Macaca fascicularis: one gene and its partners. The main gene of each other region encodes a partner of the protein of the gene in region 2 in a complex. Links are inferred from orthologs where the notes say so. Each region holds a gene or a part of one and is shown on either strand. Other genes may lie near its edges.

Evidence for each region.
Region 1: the proteins of APLNR (region 2) and GNAI1 are in contact, whole or in part, in a cryo-EM structure (PDB 8XZF), measured with the Homo sapiens proteins. The link is inferred for Macaca fascicularis from reciprocal best matches to the Homo sapiens genes APLNR and GNAI1. Residues at the interface, in NP_005152.1 of Homo sapiens: Arg62, Ser63, Ala64, Asp126, Arg127, Ala130, Ile131, Val132, Pro134, Val135, Ala136, Ala138, Arg139, Arg141, Leu142, Ile224, Ile228, His231, Phe232, Arg236, Glu238, Arg245, Leu246, Ile249, Ile250, Phe312, Asp313, Pro314, Arg315; in NP_002060.4 of Homo sapiens: Glu28, Arg32, Asp193, Leu194, Glu308, Lys314, Asp315, Asp341, Ile343, Ile344, Lys345, Asn347, Leu348, Lys349, Asp350, Cys351, Gly352, Leu353, Phe354.
Region 3: the proteins of APLNR (region 2) and APLN are in contact, whole or in part, in a cryo-EM structure (PDB 8XZG), measured with the Homo sapiens proteins. The link is inferred for Macaca fascicularis from reciprocal best matches to the Homo sapiens genes APLNR and APLN. Residues at the interface, in NP_005152.1 of Homo sapiens: Tyr35, Phe78, Trp85, Tyr88, Thr89, Tyr93, Ser106, Ile109, Phe110, Met113, Pro163, Val164, Arg168, Gln180, Cys181, Tyr182, Met183, Tyr185, Glu194, Glu198, Leu201, Gly202, Ser205, Tyr264, Lys268, Tyr271, Ser275, Cys281, Asp284, Leu285; in NP_059109.3 of Homo sapiens: Arg66, Pro67, Arg68, Leu69, Ser70, His71, Lys72, Gly73, Pro74, Met75, Pro76, Phe77.

The regions. Positions count from the first base shown.
Region 1 is NC_088377.1:141,289,691-141,293,924, forward strand, and holds the start of GNAI1 (guanine nucleotide-binding protein G(i) subunit alpha-1), read right to left. Parts: upstream 2,801-4,234; 5' UTR 2,491-2,800; coding exon 2,373-2,490; intron 1,926-2,372; exon of another isoform or gene 1,575-1,925; intron 1-1,574. UniProt on the Homo sapiens protein: Guanine nucleotide-binding proteins (G proteins) function as transducers downstream of G protein-coupled receptors (GPCRs) in numerous signaling cascades.
Region 2 is NC_088388.1:16,377,368-16,382,391, forward strand, and holds the start of APLNR (apelin receptor), read left to right. Parts: upstream 1-1,788; 5' UTR 1,789-2,034; coding exon 2,035-3,177; 3' UTR 3,178-5,024. UniProt on the Homo sapiens protein: G protein-coupled receptor for peptide hormones apelin (APLN) and apelin receptor early endogenous ligand (APELA/ELA), that plays a role in the regulation of normal cardiovascular function and fluid homeostasis.
Region 3 is NC_088395.1:135,920,636-135,924,822, forward strand, and holds the start of APLN (apelin), read right to left. Parts: upstream 2,801-4,187; 5' UTR 2,474-2,800; coding exon 2,407-2,473; intron 1-2,406. UniProt on the Homo sapiens protein: Peptide hormone that functions as endogenous ligand for the G-protein-coupled apelin receptor (APLNR/APJ), that plays a role in cadiovascular homeostasis. Functions as a balanced agonist activating both G(i) protein pathway and beta-arrestin pathway of APLNR.

The DNA of each region.
Region 1 (4,234 bases), on a different chromosome or scaffold from region 2:
AGATTGCTAAAAATCATTCTGAAGTATTTCTAATGGTGCTAGTACTGGTTTAACGAAATAAGAATTCTGGTCAGGCGAGGTGGCTCACGCCTGTAATCCCAGGACTTTGGGAGGCCGAGGCGGGCGGATCACCTGAGGTCAGGAGTTCGAGACAAGCCTGGCCAACATGGGGAAACCCGGTCTCTACTAAAAACACAAAATTAGCCAGGCATGGTGGCACGCACCCGTAGTTCCAGCTACTCCGGAGGCTGAGGCAGGAGAATGGCTCGAACCAGGAGGCGAAGGTTGCTGTGAGCCGAGATCGGGCCACTGCACTCCAGCCTGGGCGACAGAGCAAGACTCCGTCTCAAAAAAACAAACAAAAACAAAACAGAAATAAGAATTCCATAATTTCTTCTGAAAATAAGGCCTCTGCTACATCTCTCTCCAAACTCACTATGACTGTAAAGATTCACCTTCTGATTCTATATTATACATTCAATTATATTTAAGTGTTAATCTAGAACAGTGGTCCTTAACTAAGGCTGTATATTGCCCCCAGAGGACTTCTAGCAATATGTGGAAACGCTTTTGGAGCTCATAGGTTGGGGGACTGCTACTACCATCTAATGAGTGGAGGCCAAAGATGCTGCTGAACATCCTACAATGCACAAAAACAACCTGCACAACAAAGAATTTCCCGGCCCCAAATGCCAACCGTGCTAAGGTTAAGACACACTGATCTCTTCTGAACACAAGCAAAAGCCTCCTCCTGGGACCTTTATTCTAGTCCATCCCTAACAGTCACCTAATTAAAGGACAAAACACCACGACCAGATGATTCATTTCTCAATTGCTTTAAACATGGTGGATGGCTGGCTCAAACTAAGAGTCACACAAAAATACACTGAAACAACATATCACACCAGGAGAGCAAAAACTGCAAGAAAAAAACTTTTTAATCCTTTTATTTCATATCTATCTCACATTCAATTCACAAGAGAAGCAGATACACTAACCTCCTCAAAACACAGTATTTCTTAATAATGTAAAAACTTAGGCAACAGCATTAACTGAGAAAGACTTATGTTGGGGGCGAGAGGGTGAAAAAAGCCACGCAGGTCTTTAAAATGCAAAGTTATTTCACAGTTTACTTGCAAAATGACTCAGATCATTATTACTTTTAGTCATGCCAACTTTGCTGCTCCCAAGCCTACTAGTAATGTAGAAAAAAAAACCACCATTTTTTCTGCAGTCATTAAACCAATGAAACAGAAGCTTACTGAAAACAGGTTTGTGCAACATTTCTTTTTTATTATAACTGGTATAAAAATAAAAGCAGTCCTTGGAAATGCAAATGAAGATTCTGAGAAATTTTTCATCTAAATACCTAGAGTGTGAGAAGAAAACATGCAAACAAAAGAAAACCCTAACTCACAAATCTTAACCTGTGACTATTTTCCTACTGCTTCCCTCAATGAAAACCCTGGTTTACTCTTTTTTATTTTCTTCCCTGTCAAACATTTGGAAAAGACCTCCACGTAGCGTTTCACGAACAGAACAGTGCGAAGAACAAATAAAAGCCTTGCGTGTACCTGGCAAATCTCATTCATCAGAAACGGTGGCAGCGGAGGGAGAACCGTGTTGTCTGGCGTGACCCTCTCGCTCCTTTCACAGCAGTTTTCACCACTCGAGTCTTGCCTACTACTAAAGCAAAGCTTCCCAACCCCACTTGGGTGGCTTCCATGCCCCTACAGCAAGAAAAATCAAGCATCCAGCGCAGCCTTTCCCCAGCGCAGGCGGAATGTAATCGATGCTCCTTGACCACTTAAGGAGTCGCCATAGGAAGTTAACAGGAAAGACATTTCAGCCCCATCTCAGAGACCCCACAAAAGGTGCACTGATTTCACCAAACGTGGCACTCTGGGCATGAGAAAACCACAGTCGAAACACAACCCACACCTCACACGAAGAAGGGTTTTCCGGGAGGGGGCTGGGGACGGCGTGGGGGGGTGGTTATTTTCTAGCCACGAATGCCCCTTCGTCTTTGTAAGGCTGAGCTAAACTTCAAAGCAAAGGGTTTCCACAGGACCCGCCGCCTCGGACTCGCGCCTGGGCTCTTTGCTGGGTCGCCGAAGGCATCCGAGAGAAGTGACGCGCCCGCCCCACCACGGGGAGTCCTCGCCCGCCGGGGCGGAGGGAGGCCGGGCACCCGGAGAGGAGGACCCGCCTCGGCTGCGCACCGCCTGACCTAGCTCCCGCTCGGAAGCCTCCTCGGGCGCTTCCTCCCCTTCCCTCCGGGTTTCCAAATGCCGAGGGCCGCGCAGCGGTCACCGCGGAGCGCCGCGCCCGGTCCCCCGCCAACCCGGGGTCCCCGACCCGGCCGCCCTTACCAAGCAGCAGCAGCTTGACCTCGCGCGCCGCCTTCTCGCCGTCCTCGCGGAGGTTGCGGTCGATCATCTTACTCCGCTCCACCGCCGCCTTGTCCTCGGCGCTCAGCGTGCAGCCCATGTTGCCGAGAGCGAGAGCCTGCCGCCGCTCCCTCCGCGCCCGAGTGCGGGCTCCAAGCACAGGGGAATCCTTTCTCTCTCTGAGCGGGCGTTCGAACGCCTCCCGACGGGGGCCACGCCACCCCCACCACTTCCTAAGCGGAGTCGAGAGAGACGCCGTCCGCAGAGGGGCAGACAGCAACGCGCGGCTGTTCCTCACGGCCAGGCTCTGCTTCCCGGTGCGGCTCAGCGCCCCCAAGTCTCCGGTTTGGGGTTTTGAAGCTCTGGGTACAGTGGCTGCTGCCCTCCCGCCGGTGGCCGCGCCGCAGCCTTGCCAAGCCCAGCCGAGCTCGGCCTCCGCGCGCCGCCGCGGCCCCGCCCCTCCCGCCACCCCGCGACCACTCCCAGAGCGCGCGCCCGCGCACGTGCCCTTGGACAGCGCCCACTCGGAGGGGCGCGCGCGCCCCCCGGCTCCCTACCGCGGCGCCGCGACACCCCCGAGGGCCCGGCGCCCCCTGGCAGCGTCCCCGGAGCACAACACTGACCCGCGGGCCTGTGGCCTTCTGCCCTGGGCGGGAGTGGGGTAATTTCTTTCCGTTTACTCACACCGACGGAGCTGTGCGTACCTGCCCTTTCGGGTAGGGGTGGGAGAGCTGCCAAAGTTGCCGAAAAAAGCCAGTTCTGGGCGTTTGAGCATGCCCAGCGCCGGCAGCCACACAAGGCTTTTCAAAATGCAAATCCCTGTCGGCTGGCTTTCAGGGCCGTGGGAAACAGGGAGCTGGGGAAGGAATGGAGCCTGGTGAAACCAGAGATGGGCACAGTGGAGAACAGGAAAGTCGGGGGAGGAGACTAGGAAAGGGCAACAAGGTCAACTTTCTTCCTACCTTTTGCTTCTCTTTCCTTCTTCCTATCCCTCCCTCCTTCCTTCCATTCTCAGGTTTTTCACAAGAACTCATTTTGAAGGATTTCCTTGTAACCTAAAAAAATGGGAGACAAATAATCAAAAAGTACTTTTAAATGATAAGAGCAATAAAACACACCCACAACAAGCCAATCTCCACATCATAGCAGATCTCCTCTAGAGCAGCACATAAGCTTCCATGCCAAATTTTGAGCCAATATTTATTACCGTGTTTGTAACTCCTGTACCACTGGGCATGTCGTTTTTACAGGCCTTAGCTTCTTTCCCCATAAAATGAGGAGTGCATTTATGGGGCTATGGCCCCATCCTTCCAGCTGTAACTGATCCGCCCGAGATAAGTTCCTGTGGCCTGCAGGAGGCATTACTACTCAGCACCCAATGAATGAGCAGAGGCTTAAGATCTCATCTCTCCCTGTCAATTGCACTACACCTTTCCCCTACAGATATCACAGGAAGCGTTAACTGATTAGAAAATGGGACTGGTAGCAAGGAAAAACATCTTCCTTGATGTATTAAAAATTGGGAAATGCTCCCTGGTTTTCATCTGGAAATCTTATTATCTAAAAATCATTTGAGAAAACTGGGCTTGAGTTTTCCAAGGTGAGGCTGAACTGATGATACAAGCAGAATAGCTTTCGAGTAGGTCACTGAGACCACGCTTGTGAGCTAGCAGAGACTCTGAGTTACCTCCTTATGGGACATGTCCTTTCCTGTTCTCCTATGGGAGTCACACCACCTGCTGGGCTGATGAGATGCAATTTCAAGATCTGCCTCAACTATAATCTTTTGTAATATAACAACAAAAAGGAGCAATCTTTAAATGTACTTACTCACCTTCTACACT
Region 2 (5,024 bases):
ATGAGCCACCTTGCCTGGCCAATTCCAGCTTTTGTAAGTCTTTTGCCTTGGATGTGGTTAAGGCTCAGCTCCTGCTTTTGTTCCATCTCACTATTACCCAACTTTAGGTGGTGGAAATGGTGCGTATTTTTAAAAAATCTTACGTCGTGCATCTTCCTTCCTTCCTTCCTTCCTTCCTTCCTTCCTTCCTTCCTTCCTTCCTTCCTTCCTTCCTTCCCTCCCTCCCTCCCTCCCTCCCTCCCTCCCTCCCTCCCTCCCTCCTTCCTTCCTTCCTTCCTTCCTTCCTTCCTTCCTAGAGGTCCTGGAGAGGTGATGAGATGGGGCAAAGTGAGCTTCTACAGAACTTTCCCCACAGCATCCTCCAGTGACTGCGTCTCTTTCTAGAGACCCCCCTCCTCTAGCTCAACTTCCTGACCCCCTGTGGTCTTATACAAACCTCTTGGTCCACGGAGGGTAGTAAAAACCTGAGAACTGAAATGTATCCAAGTTCTCGCCACATAGTAATTCATACACTCCTTCTTCCACCTATGGATTCCCCTTTTCCCTCACACGTTACGTCATCCATCCACTTACTCACTCATCAGCCATTCACCGGGCCGGCAGGGCAAGGTGGCTCATGCCTATAATTCCAGCACTTTGGGTCATCTGAGGTCAGGAGTTTGAGACTAGCCTGGCCAATATGGTGAAACCCTGTCTCTACTAAAAAAACAAAAAAAAATTAGCCTGTAATCCCAGCTACTGGGGAGGCTGAGGCGGGAGAATCGCTTGAACCCGGGAGGCGGAGGTTGCAGTGAGCCGAGATTGCAGCATTGCACTCCAGCCTGGGCAACAAGAGTGAAACTCTGTCTCAACAAACAAACAAACAAACAAACAAGCAAACAAACAGCCTTTCACCTACGACATGCCAGGTACTGTGTTATGTTCGTGCTTGGAGAAGAAGAAAAGCAAACAATCAACTGTAGCAGAATTCACTTTATTTCCTTGGGCAAAACATTGACCTTGTTGGGCCTTTGTTTCCTACAGATTTAATGACTTGTTTAGAGATAATTTTGTCCTGGATTTCTTCCATCCTGTGACTACCTTCAACCTTCAAAAGCATCCTGTGCCATCTGCAAACTGCAAACTGCAGTCTACACTAGTGTAGGGGGATTTCTCTAGAAACCACGGAAGTTCTCAAGGGAGGGTCAAAGCCAAGGGGTAGCGAAAGATGAAGCCAGAGGCAAAGTAGGAGAAGACCCTCGTGTGACACCTGGTCTGGGTGAGGGCTGGGGGTGCAGGAAGGGAGCCAGGGGGCCAGACCTGCCTGCCAGGAGGGCCTGCCAGATGCCCTGATGATCCTGCGAAATCTTACACCCTCTTTGCTCCCTACCAGCCCTGGCTCCAGCTCAGGCTGGATTGCAATCTGCATAATGTGTCCCATTTAGATTGGATGGGAGGGGGTGAGAACAGGAGGGCGGAGAGCACTGAGGAGGGAGTGCCCTGAAGGGCAGGCAGGAAGTGGTGGCCAGAGGAAAGTGGAGGGATGGAGGCTGGGGTGAAGGTGGGTGGCAACCAGAAGGGGGAGGCGGGGCCAGGAGAGCAGACTTGCAAAACCACAGATAATGTTCAGCCCAGCACAGTAGGGGTCAATTTGGTCCACTTGCTCAGTGACAAAAAAAAAAAAAAAAAAAAAAAAAAGTGGGCTGTCACTTAAAGATTTTGACTCACAAGAGAGGGGCTGGTCTGGAGGTGGGAGGAGGGAATGACGAGTCAAGGAGGAGACAGGGACGCAGGAGGGTGCAAGGAAGTGTCTTAACTGAGACGGGGGCAAGGCAGGAGAGGGTGGAGGAAATTCTGCAGGAGACAGGCTTCCTCCAGGGTCTGCAGAACCCAGAGGCAGCTCCTCCTGAGTGCTGGGAAGGACTCTGGCCATCTTCAGCCCTTCTTACCCTCTGAGGCTCAAGCCAGAAATTCAGGCTGCTTGCAGAGTGGGTGACAGAGCCACGGAACTGGTGTCCCTGGGACCCCCTGCCCGTCTTCTCTCCACTCCCCAGCATGGAGGAAGGTAGTGATTTTGACAACTACTATGGGGCAGACAACCAGTCTGAGTGTGAGTACACAGACTGGAAATCCTCGGGGGCCCTCATCCCTGCCATCTACATGTTGGTCTTCCTCCTGGGCACCACGGGCAACGGTCTGGTGCTCTGGACCGTGTTTCGGAGCAGCCGGGAGAAGAGGCGCTCGGCTGATATCTTCATCGCCAGCCTGGCAGTGGCTGACCTGACCTTCGTGGTGACGCTGCCCCTGTGGGCTACCTACACGTACCGGGACTATGACTGGCCCTTTGGGACCTTCTCCTGCAAGCTCAGCAGCTACCTCATCTTTGTCAACATGTACGCCAGCGTCTTCTGCCTCACCGGCCTCAGCTTCGACCGCTACCTGGCCATCGTGAGGCCAGTGGCCAACGCTCGGCTGAGGCTGCGGGTCAGCGGGGCCGTGGCCACGGCGGTCCTGTGGGTGCTGGCCGCCCTCCTGGCCATGCCTGTCATGGTGTTCCGCACCACCGGGGACCTGGAGAACACCACCAAGGTGCAGTGCTACATGGACTACTCCATGGTGGCCACTGTGAGCTCGGATTGGGCCTGGGAGGTGGGCCTGGGGGTCTCGTCCACCACCGTGGGCTTCGTGGTGCCCTTCACCATCATGCTGACCTGTTACTTCTTCATCGCCCAAACCATCGCTGGCCACTTCCGCAAGGAGCGCATCGAGGGCCTGCGGAAGCGGCGCCGGCTGCTCAGCATCATCGTGGTGCTGGTGGTGACCTTTGCCCTGTGCTGGATGCCCTACCACCTGGTGAAGACGCTGTACATGCTGGGCAGCCTGCTGCACTGGCCCTGTGACTTTGACCTCTTCCTCATGAACGTCTTCCCCTACTGCACCTGCATCAGCTACGTCAACAGCTGCCTCAACCCTTTCCTCTATGCCTTCTTCGATCCCCGCTTCCGCCAGGCCTGCACCTCCGTGCTCTGCTGTGGCCAGAGCAGATGTGCGGGCACCTCCCACAGCAGCAGTGGGGAGAAGTCAGCCAGCTACTCTTCGGGGCACAGCCAGGGGCCTGGCCCCAACATGGGCAAGGGTGGAGAACAGATGCACGAGAAATCCATCCCCTACAGCCAGGAGACCCTTGTGGTTGACTAGGGCCGGGAGCGGAGAGAAGCCTGGTGCCCTCAGCCCTCCCCAGCCTTTGCCCTTGCTTTCTGAAAATCAGGTAGTGTGGCTACTCCTTCTCCTGTGCACATCCTTTAACTGCCCCCTGACTCCTGACCCGCCCTGTCCTCCTCTACTGCTTTATTCCTTCTCAGAGGTTTGTGGTTTAGGGGAAAGAGACTGGGCACTACGGACCTGACCTTGCACAAGCCATTTAATCTCACTCAGCCTCAGTTTCTCCATTGGTATGAAATGGGGGAAAGTCATATTGATCTTAAAATGTTGAAGCCTCAGTCTGGACTCAATAAAAGCTTGTTTCCCTCCGCTGCTTTCTTAGATCTGCAACCGTCTTTTCTCCCTCCTTTCCTTGTAGTTTTTCCCCCCAACACTCTCTGCAGCTGTCGCTCCTCATCCCTGCCTTCTGGCACCAATCCCCTCCTATAGCTCATCCCCCCTCCGTCCATCCCTCCTTCTCCCCTGTCTACGTTCTTGTTCTGAAGGGCTACTAAGGGTTAAGGATCCCAAAGCTTGCAGAGACTGACCCTGTGTAAGCTCTCTATCCTGTTTTCTGAGTGTGAGGCAGGGAATGGGCTGGGGTGGGGGTGGGCTGTGTGTCAGCAGGTAATTAGCACTCCAGCCCTTAGATATGGGAGCTCCAGAGCTTGCCCTAAAATTGGATCACTTCCTTGTCATTTTGGGCACTGGGGCTAGGGTGATTCCTGCAGTTCCCCCATGGCACCACATCACTGACTAGATATGCTTTCTCCAAATTGTCCGCAGACCCTTTCATCCTTCCTCTATTTTCTATGGGAATTGGAAGGCAGCAGGGCTGATGAATGGATGTACTCCTTGGTTTCATTATGTGTGTGTTGGGAAGGGAAACTAGAGAGAGAGGATGGAGGGGTGTCTGCATTTAGTCCAGACACTGCTTGGCTCGCTCCCCAAGTCCTTCTGTCTCTGACTTCCTGCAGAACTGTGAGCTGAAGGTTTTCCTCGTCTCCCCATCTTACTCCATCACACTGATTTCTTTCTTGGGCACTAGTACTACTTGGTGCCAAGAGTCATGTTGTTTGGGATGGAGATGCCTGCCTCGCCTCTGTGTGTTGTACTTACATGTCTATATGGGCAAGCCTGGCATGAACAGCAGTGTGCCTGGATCATTTGGACGAACCTCCTCCCACCCCCCACTCCACTGCATCTCTGCTGTTCATACATTCCCCTTGGCGGGGGGTGGTGGGGGGCAGGGACACACTGAGGCAATGAAGAATGTAGAATAAAAATGAATCCATCCCCCCACTGGATTTGGGGGCTCCAACGGCTGGTCCGTGCTTTAGGAGAGAAGTTAATGTTTGCACCAGGCTTCCTGTAGGGAGGTTCCTCCCCAAAGCAGCTGGCGCTAAGGCTTGGGGGCGTCCTACTGAGCTGGGTTCCCGCTCCTTCTTGGGCTCCATGAAGGAAGTAAGAGGCTGGTTGAGAGCTTCCCTTGGCCCCTTTCTGGTGCCTCCCCACCTGGCTTCAAATTTATGAGCATTGCCCTCATCATCCTTTCTTGTTCCAGAGTCAGTGGTCCTCTTCCTAAGGAGGTCTGCTTGCCATGGGCCAAAAGGCACTGGGTGGGTTTTTTTCTCTTCCTACCCTCAGGATTGGACCTCTTGGCTTCTACTGGATTGGGGATCTGGGAATAGAGACTGTGATGGGGCAGATGGCATGATGTCTACACTGCCAGAGAGACTGTGAGGATGAGATTAATAGTGGGGCCTCTGTGAGCTAGAGGCGGGGAGTGTCTATTCCGGGTTTTGTTCTTGGAGGACTGTAAAAGTGAAGGACAAGACATGGGC
Region 3 (4,187 bases), on a different chromosome or scaffold from region 2:
GAGGGGGAGGAGAAGGGGAAAAAGAGAGGTACTCAGAGACTGAGGGACACTTGGCCCTGGCCCAGGAGTTCTCAGACTCACAAGAGCAAAGTGTATCCGAGGTCAGGAGGCAGTGGAGGAGTGTACACGGTGGTATCGGGGTGATGAGGGGTCGGGGGCGGACATTCCAAGTCAGGACAGACTGTGGAGAGGAGGAAGTATGGTTTTCAGGCTGGAACTTTGACTGGGGACTCTGGCCGGGGACAGCATGTCAGTCTGGGCCAAGGACAAAGTGGTTCTGGGATTCCTACTTCTAACCCAGGACAGGAGCCAGCAGGAGCAGGACATGTGTACCTGGACCCTTGGCTGGTGGCCACCTCCAGGGACGTGCCCCTTCTTGGCTCCAGGAGAAGTCAGGGAGTAGAGAAGTCAGTGAGAGCCCTGAAAGTTTCCAACATGAGGCTTGAGCAAAATGTGAGGGCAACGAATTTACCCAAATCAGAGTAGACAGATTACCTAATGAAGACGGGGGTATTAAAGCACGAAGTGGCAGGCTCTGGACCAGCCACACCGTGTTCAGGCATCCTGGCCAACTTCCCTTCCCTTGAAACCAGCTGTCTCCCCTTTGCTAGTACTGTCCCAATGACTGGGCCCCAGGAGGGTCTGAATGGTTGTCTATTGGCTAGGAGTCTCCCCACAGCCTGTGTGGGGAGCACCAAGTGTGCAGATCCAGAAGCCCCACCTTCCTCTGGAACACTCTCTCTGCACCCAGTCTTTTTCTTCCCTGAAGGCACCACGCTGGACTATTTGCCTGTGGTGGTATTGTACAAGTATCATGCCTTGTTAATGACACCAGATGGTAGGCTCCCTGAGGACAGGCTGGTATGGTGTATCATTTGTATCTTACATTTGTATCTTACATTAGTATCTTTTGCTCCCTCTGTTACCTGCCTGATAGGAGTTTCTATGGAAAAAACCTGCCCACTTCTTACTGTCGTGGTGGCTGACTTCATGCTCAGGTCTTGAAGAGAGAGATCACTGGCCAGCTACCTGGAGGCAGGAGGTGCCAGCCCCAACCACCACGCCTTTCTGAGAAGTCAGGCAGTATTCCCAGGGCCACAACAGGGCCAAAAAGCAAGAGCAGAGAAAGGAGGTGGCCTGCGATGAGAGGCAGGCAGAGCTGGCTGGACCCCTCGGAGGCTCCTGGGCTGCATGCCACCCTCCTGTTCTGGAGGGTTTGGAACCACGTAGGACCCTGTGCCCTTGCCCTAGGAAACTCGTTGCTCTGCCTTCTCCTTCTTTCTGCTCCCACCTCCCTGTGACTCCAGCCATGGTCCTGGCGTTAGTCCACCTGGTCTTGGCCTTCCCCTTGTGTGGTGCCAGGCAGGCAGCAATGACAGCCAGATCATAGGACTGTGGCAGCTGGAGGTGGGAGCTGGCAGCCCCAGGAGACATTGACACGCAGAGGACAGGCAGCCCGGGATGGGGCTGCTGGGGCGTGGGTGGGGACCAGGCTAGGGGCGGACGTGGGCACTAGTGCCAAGTATTGGCAGGTGAGGGCAAAAGGACTCCCCTTTCCTGAGCTGCAGGGAGGGGTTGGGTCAGGTGCTGTGCTTCCTCCTTTGGTGCTTAGCGACAGGGAGACTAAGGTGAAGCATGCCCATGCCTGGGACAGAAAGAAAGGCTGGAGCCAGGATGTAAGAGAACCAAGTATCTGGGGGTGGGATGGAGGCAATGGGGAGGGCATCCTGTGCAGGGGAGGAGGCCAGCCAGGACCTTGGGGTTAGGGAGGAGAAGACCAGCCCAGCCCGGCTGGGCCCGGCCCTGCCTTAGGGAGGCTGCCTCTGCTCACACATGCAGGCCAAAAGGAGCAACAGCTGGGCTCCATGCCGCCACCCCCTCCGCGCACTCCTGCCTATGCAACAAGTGTCACGTCTGCATGTTGGCACATCATCCCCGGTTTCCCGCGCCCCTGGACCGGCGGGAGGCTCCCAGCCTTCAGGGACCAGAAGACGTTCAACATGGGAGCCCAGCCCACCCGACTCTGGTCAGTTCCTTCCATCGATCCACGAGGGAGCGGGCATGTCCCCGGCCTCCACCCTCACCACGCGGGGTGCAGGGCATGGGGCACGCGGCGCACACCTGTGGTCCTGCGCTCCTGGGACTGCGAGCGACAGTTAGGAGGGTCAAGGTGACGGGCAGATGATGCCAGAGGCCAAGTTGAGCCCCGCAGAAGAAGCGGTTCTTGCGGCCAGCCGCCCCATGGCCCGGGGCGCCCTGTCAATCTGCTGCCTGGCGCTGGCCGGCGCGTGGCTGCTACTGCACGGCTCGCGCCGGGCTCCCCGGGAGGCGGGGAGAGTGCGAGGAGGGCGGAGGGAAAGGAGCGCGCCGGCTGCAGCCCGGGCGAGCGGGAGGGCGCGCACTCACCTCCACACACCGCGGTCAAGGAGAGCCAGAGCAGCAGGAGCGCCTGCACGCAGAGCCGCAGATTCATGCTGCTCCTCGGGCCGCCGCGGCCCCGGCGAGCCGGCGCGGGGGAGGAGAGGTCGGGCGCCAGGAGGCCAAGAAAGGCGCAAGCCGCGGCTGGCGCGTGCGGGCGCGGAGCTCGGGAGGCTCCCTGGCCGCTGAGTGTGCGCGCTGAGCCCCGCCGCTCCCGCTGGCCGCCTCCGCTCTTCTGCAACCTCCTCTCCCGCCGCGGGGCAGCGCCGCGAAGCTGGCCTCGGCGGCTCCGGGAGCGGCAGCGGCGAGCTCTTTCCTAGCAGCTGGTTGCTCAGCCGCGGCTGCAACTGCCCCTGACCCCGGCTGCCAGCGAGAATGCTCCCCGCTCACTCCAGGGGCTGCATTTTGTAGCTTGTGGCTTGGCCGCGAGCCCACTTGGTCATGTGGTCATCGGGAGGGCTAGAGGGGGGGCAGGAAGAGGGAGAGGGAGCGAGCCTCCCGCACCGCCCCCCTCCAGGCACGCACTCTGCAGCCCCAGCCAGAGCGCGAGAGGGAACCCTGAGGTGGCCCCACAACAAAGGCTGCGCAGCCTCTCTGACAACCCACAACCGCTCCCCGGACAATGCCCGTCTGGCCGGGGGCCAGAGGGTTTGCAGAGACCTGAAGGATTTCAAACACAGGAAGCATTTGGGGCGGTGGAGGGGCACACTTAACCCTTTCTCACCTTGCTTCCTTCACAGCTGTCAGGAAACCTAGGCGCTTAGGGAAGGACTCAGTCTGGGTCACCTTCACTCACGCCCTCTACCTCTGACCCTGACCCTGGTCCTTGCCCTTGCCGCTGGCCAGCTTCAAGGGTTTGGTCAAGACACCCACACACTGGCCTTCCTCTCTCCTCTGCATTTTCAACTGGCTCTGAATTGGGGGTGACTGCCTAGGCTTGTGCCCAAGGCTTAATTGCCCAGCACCCTCATGTTCCCTGCATCCCCCAGGAGGCACCCTCTACCTGGAATGCCCCCACCCCACCTTTCCGTGAGCAATTCATTCTTGCAGCAGCACCTCAAATCCCATCGCATCCAGAAGCCTTCCCGGGATAACACTAATCCAGCAAGGGTTGCCCCTCAGCTCCTCCCCACTGTTGGGACATGCGACAGCTCCTATGGTGTCCCCTTTCTTGTTCCCTGGAGCTGTCCTCATTCTAGTTCCCCATCATGATAAGAGGCAGGTGGTTTACCCAGCTCCACACAGTCAAGGCTGGATTCATTTTGGGTGTACTTGGGATTCCGGTTTAGAAGCGGGTCCTGAAGTTGTTTGCCTTTCCAGACTGGACTGTTAGCTCCTTCTGTAGCTTGGGAGCTCCCAAGGCATGGGGCTGCCTCCCTCATTGGACTGGGAACCCCCTAAGGTAGGATACTGTCTTCTCACTCTTCTGGATCTCTCCAAAGTCCCCAATATCTTGCTCTGCACATAGGTGGCACTCAACACATATTAAAAGACTGAATCGAAAGGTGTCTCCACCTTTCAGCAAGCTAGGCAGTTTGCTTGAAGTGTAAGTCCAGATTTACACAAAAGATACATTGGACAGGGTGCATGTGTGCCATAAAAGACATGAGAGACCACGGCATATTTAAAATATTTTTGAAATGTTACAAAAATCCTATATATACACAATGTATTTATTATCAGTCTAGCTCCGCCAGAAGGGTTACCTCCATAAGGGAGGGATCTTTGCTTTGTTCACAGCTGTGTCCCCAGACCTAGAACAGTGACTA